Struthio camelus: one gene and its partner. The protein of the gene in region 2 interacts with the protein of the main gene of each other region in a biochemical or structural test. Links are inferred from orthologs where the notes say so. Each region holds a gene or a part of one and is shown on either strand. Other genes may lie near its edges.

The links.
Region 1: the proteins of CTTN (region 2) and ACTR3 form a complex in vitro, tested with the Homo sapiens proteins (3 studies listed by BioGRID). The link is inferred for Struthio camelus from reciprocal best matches to the Homo sapiens genes CTTN and ACTR3.

Annotation. Positions count from the first base shown.
Region 1 is NC_090947.1:37,613,376-37,617,124, forward strand, and holds the start of ACTR3 (actin-related protein 3), read right to left. Parts: upstream 2,742-3,749; 5' UTR 1,684-2,741; coding exon 1,640-1,683; intron 1-1,639. UniProt on the Homo sapiens protein: ATP-binding component of the Arp2/3 complex, a multiprotein complex that mediates actin polymerization upon stimulation by nucleation-promoting factor (NPF).
Region 2 is NC_090946.1:33,056,141-33,059,889, forward strand, and holds the start of CTTN (src substrate cortactin), read left to right. Parts: upstream 1-1,216; 5' UTR 1,217-1,425; intron 1,426-3,749.

The DNA of each region.
Region 1 (3,749 bases), on a different chromosome or scaffold from region 2:
TGTGGTCAGAAGCTATAGTTTGCAAACCTATAAAGACACAATCACTGACTTTAATGGGACTACCTACAACGCACAAACTTCTAGGATGGGAGAAAGCTGCTTATGCGTGTGGCAGAGCGCACTCAAAATTTCAAGTAATCTTTTTTTAAAAGGAAAGTAAATAGCATGTATAGACATCACGTTACTTCTGTTACACTCAGTTACACACACACATTCCTACTGGGCTAACTTCCCCTTCACTCCACAAAATTCAAAGTTTTAGTTCTTGCTGTAACTGCAGGCAGGACATTTTCATAGAACTATTAAGCATACAGCCATTATAGACACATATATACCTGCTCATTTAAAAAAAGACCAATTTATTAACGCCCTAGACCAAGTGGATACTTTTGGAGGGAAGACAAGCATAGCAAATCCCTGGGTTCCAAAAGAACATGCCCTCCCCAAAGTCATCTATGAATACTGTAAATACCCATATCTGTTCTGCACCTACTGAGAAATTTCTTCAACTATTTTTAGCAAATGATGAGAAGTACAACAAAAAAGAGAAGTTTAAGAATTAGTACATTAACTGTGCTAGCTCAAGACACAGAACTTTGAAATATAACAGTCCTTTCTTTCCAACGAAAACCCGATACATAATATTCAAAAAAATACATTCCATCTGTAAAACCATACTGCAGACAGGAGCTCAGGGAGAGGTTTTCACTTCCTCGGTGTGTTGTTGTAAGCGGTACAGTGTAACCCTGCCAGGTTGGCTTCCCACGGGCACCTACGGGTTTGCTACCTAAGTCTCCTAAGGGCTATGAAAGCCATGCAACAACAACAAAAAAGGATTCTGAATCCCAAAAGCCTTCTACCGAAGCACATTTCATGTTATACATCACTAGGACTTCATTCTCTTCATCATCTGGTAGCCGCCAAACACAAAAAACGGTTTCTAAAAAGGATTTGGTTCAGGTTTGACACTGAAAACTGCCTTATAAGGTATAAAAGCCTGAAAGCAGGAAGAGGCTTTGACAAAACTAAGGAAGTTACTCTGCGCTTGCTCACTAGAGGGGGAGGGGTTTTTTTCCCCCTTTCTCCTTTCCCAGACAGAGAAATAATACTGAATAAATGACATTATGCACATCTGACAAAAACACCCAAAGCGGCACGCTCTTTAGGCGAGGACTCCCTTGAGGACGGAGCGCTGCTGACAAGCCGGCGCCTAGTTACCCGCGGGAACGACACCAGGGTGTCTGGCACGCTTGCTAGCCCGCCCGGCTCCGGCGTTAGCCCACCGGCCGCCCCTCACCCTGGGCAGGCGGCGGAGCGGCAGGGCGAGCCTGCGGCTCCCAACGCCCCTGGCGGGGGGGGGGGCGGGGGGGGGGAGCCCGGCCGGCAGCAAGGCTCCGCGGGAGGCGAGAAGCACCGACCGGCTCGCGGGGGGGGGCGGGGGGGATACAGGACACCCCTCCGCACCCCGGCGCGGCCCGCGGATGCGGCGCGGGGAGGGGAGAGGAAGGAAAGGTACCGGGTTGCCGCCGCGACCCCCGCCGCCATCTGCGGCAGCCGGCGGGGAACACGCCCAGCCCCTCCCCCCCCACGCCGCCGCCGCCGTGCCGGTACCCAACTGTCAACGGCCGCCCCAGCTCACCCCGTGCCGCAGTCCACCACGCAGGCTGGGAGCCGGCCTGCCATGCTGCTCGGCTAGCGGCGGTGCTGGGGAAAGGCGGGCGGCCCCTGGGCTCGCTGCTGCGGCGGCTGGCTCCGCTCCGGGGGAGTGAAGGCACTTCCGCAAGCCGGCCGCTCCTTCCCTCCCCCGCCCGGCCGCTCGCTCACTCGCACGCACGGCCCAAGATGGCTGACCCGTCCCCTCCCTGCGCGCGGCGGCGGAGGGCGGGCGCGCCAACCCGAGCGTTCCGTGACGCCCGATCTCGCGGCCTCGCCCATGCGAGGGGGTGCGAAGCGGAGCGGGCGGGAGGGTTTTTTTTCCCCTCCGCCTTGGCTGCATCCCCGGCGGAAATAAGGTTTTAACGCTGAAAATCTGAGAGAAGACGCGGGGACGAGCGTGAGGAAGTGTGCTGGCCACGAAGAAGGCAAGGGAACTTCCCGCAGGGCGATGGTGGGCCCGAGGAGGCCGCGCGGGCCCCGAAAGCCCTCTCCAGGAAAAGCGCGACCACGAGGCAAAGGCAGAAGTAGATACTTCTCGTTCTGGTTTTTTGAACGTTTTTTCAGACGTGCCTGGGCCTGGCCGCGGACCCTGCTGGTGCACGGGCCCATGTCCAGCCTGCCCTCAGAGCTGCCCGGCAGCTGCGGGGTCTGTCGGACCCGGGTCGCCCTGACCCTCATCCGCAGGCGGACGTTGAGCCGGTCGCGTCGCCGTGAACGTGCCCGACGGTCTGGGCTGGTCCAACCTGGCCGCCGAGGTCCTGCCTCGCCGGTCGGGCGGCGTGCCCTCGGCGGCTCGCCGACCCCTTCGCCTCGCTCGCTTCTCAGGCGCCGTCATAAAGCATAACTGACTAGAAAATATTCAACCGGCAAGCTCTGGTCTAATGTACTCTACAGAAAGCATCCCACAGCTGGATTCCTTACAGATATTTTTTTCCCCCTTGTGAGTCCAAGCGTCTTCTCTGAGCTGGTAGGACACGGAGTTGGAGAAGATATGGAAAGTGAAACAAATCTAGTAAACAACTCTATTGTGATCTCTTCTATCAGGTTGTGTTCTTCCTGAGACCGGAGTCTATTAATAAAGACTGATACTGAAAAAGAGCAATAATGATGCATTTTGTTTTATTAAATTACAGCAGAATTTGCGAGAAAGCATAGGATTTCTCCCAATACAGAGATGCCAAGTCAATTAAGGTTTTGCGAGGAAGAAATTGAAAGTCTAAACTCACTAGCCATGAGGTCTCATGTTTCATTTTTAATAGGCCTGCCAGATGCAGTTCTCCAAGGTGCTGCGGACCCAGGCTCCGATCCAAAAAAGTAAAGGTGCAAGATTCCTCTTTAAGTGATATTGTCCCCCGTGGTTGTACCATAAATGCACGTTTGGGGTTGTATCATAAATGCACGTTGGGGTTTCCTCATCAAAATTCAAATAGCTCAAACACTTTACCAACTGATTATGCAATAGATCCGTTGTAGCTTCGTGCAGTGGCATACAGATTGTCTTGGTGGATATTATCGGCATACAAGTCTTGCACTTAAATTACAAAATGGAGCCTATAAAGTTAAAACGCAGCCAGATCCAGAGGGACTGCAGTGCCAAATAATATATTTTAAGGCTTCTTGGTATTCAAATGTTTTCCAACTCATTTATTTCTTCAGTACAGCAGTTAAAGAAAAAGCCATTTTTCTTGTTTTTCATGGTTAATTTTCTGACAATTTTTCTGAAGGGCCTAATTTAGCCAGATATCAGTCCCGAACTCCTGCGATGCTTTTCAGTGTTTTGAGGGTATACCTGAATTGAGTCTTTAAAGCGTAAAGGCAATTGCTTAGTAGTCTTCCTATCTCTGCAGTGGAGCTGGAATGAATAAAACTCCAAACTGCCTATATCTGGTACCATCCTGTGGCAATAATCCAGCAATATCAGTCTGTGATGCCTCACAGTCCAGTTTTTATTAGCAAACTTGGGTTGCAGGTGATCTTTTTCTGAACAGCCATGATAATAATTACCGTGGTGGATTACCTTTATGTTGTTGTTTCCTGGTTCATATTTACATTGCAAACTGCCTGAAGGCCAACAATGCAGATGGATGCGGATG
Region 2 (3,749 bases):
AACTCCAACACATGTTCAGTTTCTGTAAAATGCCAAAAGTCCTTTAGATGGAACTTTAGTTGGAAAAATTGCTATAAAAATTATTTCTTTAAAAAGTGAGAACCCTTTGTAACTGCCATAAGGAGATGGCAGAATTATCAGAGAGAACTTTACTCTGGCTTCTACACATAAACAAACTGGAAGTTTAATCTCAGTGCTTTTTTAACTTATTTTATAATTCAATTTTCTGGATGATTTTGATAAAATATTAGTTTAAGCAATGCACTAAAACTTAAATTACAATGTTCTAAATTGTATTCAAATCATGTGTTGCTAATGCTCGAAGTCGTTTTGGTAAAAATATGGCAATTGCAATGCAGGAATGAACAGATGAAAAGTGGGTTGTAAGTGTGGTTGGCGTTCCTGCCGGTAACCAGGAGGACAGATGAATTATCTCCCGAACCGCACAGCAACAGTGCCAGAGACGATCCCCAGAGGATCCAGGTTCTCGGAGCACGTCTCCTCTCCAGGAGACGGGTTTCCAGGAGAAAGTTCTACTTAGATGGCTTTAATATTAGAGTATACTTCCAAAATTCTAACTTCTTCTGTGCTAAATATAGAAAAGTTTTAGCCTGTTTACACTGACTCCACTGTACTTTATTTCTGTTGGCTGGGAGTAGCTATCCCACTGCCACTGGGCACTGGTAAGTCATGTTTTTGCTTCTAAAACTCATGAAGGCATGTTCATCTGGAACTTTTTATTATTAGAGTTGGAGATATTTCTAGTGGGGGGAAAAATGTATATCTGCTTATTTCCCTTCCCCAAAGAGTATAAGCACTGGACAAATAATTGAGAAATGATGTCACCAAGTCGAGACATGCGACTGCTGGTTTTGGAGCTTTCAACGCTAGTGTATTTGCTAGTGTATTTGTATCTCCTTTGCTCGGGTACTCGGAGGCGGTTAAAGGCGAAGCACGGGCCGGGTCCTGGACACCCCCCCCCCCCGCCCACTTAGCTGCGGTTTCCGAAACGAGATGGTGCAGAAGTGAGTATATTGAAACAAAAGGTATGTTCAAACCTCTGCTTAATTAAATATAGCCCTTTGAAATCTCCTGCCCGCTCCTTTGTAGCGTCCTCTCCCTTGCTCCGCCGCTGGATTTTCACTAGCGTTGCTGGGGGGGGACGGGGGACGGGACGGCTGAGCTGGGGCTCAGCGTTTCGCCTTTTCCCTTCGCCAGGCTGCGCCCCCCGCGGCCGGGCCGGGCCGGGCCCCGGCCGCCTCCCGCCTCCCACCTGGAGCCGCCCCGCGCTGCGGGAAGAGGAAGTGGGAGCTCGGGAGAAGCGGAAATTGCAGCAGCAGGAGCAGGAGCCGCCGCCGCCGCCCGGCCGGGAAGCACCCGCGGCAGCGAGGGCAGCGGCGGCCGCAGCAGCCGCCCGGCACCAACGTGAGCGCCGGGGCCGGGGCCGGGGCCTCCCCGCCCCTCACCCTCCCGGGGCGGCGGGGGGGGGCCGGGCCGGGCCGGGCTCCCCGGGCGGCGGCTTTGTTCGGGCCGGGCCGGGGGCGGCGGCGGGGCCGGGCGAGGGGCTCCTCGGCGCCGAGCCGCCCCTGCCGCGGGCCGGGGCCGTCCTCGTCGCAGTAGACGGCGTGAGGTTTCCGTGACTTTTTTTTTTTTTTTTTTTAATCTGTTCGTAAGCGGAGAACTTGGAGGAAGCCGTTAAAAAAAAGAGCCCCGGTGGCGGCCGGGCGCGGCCCCCTGCGGCGCGGCGGGGGGCGGCCGGGGGCCTGCTGCTGCGCCGGGTGTCGCTGTGGGCGCTGGTGCGGGGCGTTTTGCCCCCGGGGGATGTTGCGGGCGGGGCGGCCAGCCGTGACCGTGAATCAGTCGTTACCGGGGGGGGGGGGGAAGGCCCAGCTGGCCAAGCCGGTTCAAAGCGTGTATATTTAGCCTCAGTGGGCATGAACGGGAGGATTTTCTTTTTCCTGCAGAAATTTGGGCATGTGAGTCAGTGAGTCATAAGTAGATCATGTTTCTCTCCCCGTTGTGTTTGGAAAGGGACGGACGGGGAGTAGCAGGGCTGCGCGGCGGCGGCGAGCTGGGGCGTCCGCGCTGCCTCTCCGGCAGAAGTCACCGCGCTCGTCTGAGGACCGTTGCTACGCGGCTTTCCTCCTCTTCGTAATTCAGTTTATAAGAAGCAGGTCTGAGGCACGGAAAAGCATCGATGGTTTTGTGTGTGGTTTAGGGAAGCAGGTGGTCTTCCGACCAGGACTCTGTTTTGTATTTTGGAGGGGTGGGAATCCTCCTTCCTTGAGGATTGTTTTTAAGAGTTTGAGGAGGAAGGAGAGAAATCCAGACTTAACGATCTAGCTATTGGGTTTCTTTAAACGCCCAAGCACAACTGCATGCACAAAACTAAATGAGTGCTGGAACTATGGACTTAGGGGGAGAAGGTTGTATTTCACACAGCTCGAGGGACAGAACATCCACGTGCGAATATGCACGTGGTTCAGCTCTTGTAGTTTAAGAGTTGCGTTTAGGTGGCAAGTGCCGTACGCCCTGCTACCGGCACAGCAGAGAGGTGCGAGCTCTCCCTCCTAAGAGTCACCGTGAGTTTGTGTTTGATTAGGAAGTTAAACCTTGGCCCTCACACTGAGTTTCGTTATTGAGGTGGTTTGTTTCCGCTTTCCAGCGCTTTCGTTCTGGTGACAGGTTTGTTTTTTGTGAATGCGCTTTGGCCAAGGAAAGAGTACGAGACCTGAGACACAGGATAGCATGAGCTAAGGCTTTAGACTGAGGCTATTCAAAGGAAAAGGATAAAGTACCAATGTTTTAAAGGATTTCACAGCAAATATTTAATCTTCTTATTCTTCTGCATATTAAGTAATTTAACAAATGCTGGTTCTTAATTGCGTAGGAATTGCCGTTTGGACATGGGAGACCCCAAGATGTAAAAGGAGATCTATGCGATGTTGTCAGGATGTTGTCTTCTCTGCTCTTATGCCCTCTTTCCAGACCACTCTGTAATTTGCTGCCTTGGTGTTTGATAATTTTTTCATTCCTCTCGTTATTATTACCAGTCCTGGCATTTCTGAAACGCTTCGTAAAACTGGCACATCGGTGTATTCTAGCAGTCTGTAGAACAGGCAGTGTTTTTTCTGCATAAACTTTAGCTATGGATTGTTAGTTGCATGTTTTAAAATCTGAGTTTGTAGAGCGCACGCTACTGTCATAACATGCCTACTTCTATGGAATTCTGTTTTTTATATGTAAATTATGTACAAAGACAGCCTGTGTCCTAAAGAGACTGCAGTTTAATAAGCACATTGTCTCCATGTGCAATAAGCTCAGAGATTCAGAATCTTTAAGTAATTTTATGTTAATTTTCATATTACGTAGCAGAACAACTGCTTGTCCGGTACTGTGCAAATGTTAATAAATGCCACCTGATCCCTGGAGAACTTTTCATCTTTTTGGCCTGGATTTGTATTTAAGGGGGAGTTTTCATTCCATTTTCTGTGTAAATGAAATAGTCCATGGCAATCATCCTTATAATCTGTTCTTAATTAGAAGAACGAAGAAAAGTGTGTAAGAGGTTGGAACCTTCGGCTTCATCCTGAAACATTCAGACAGGGCACTGAGTTTGCATACGTCTTTGACAAAGGAAAAGTGCAGTAACTTGTATACTCTGCTGTTGCATGCAAGTGGACTAGTGCCTCGATTCTGTGTTAATTTTTATGGTTGTTTGTATTTCTTTCATAATCCTGAAACTTATT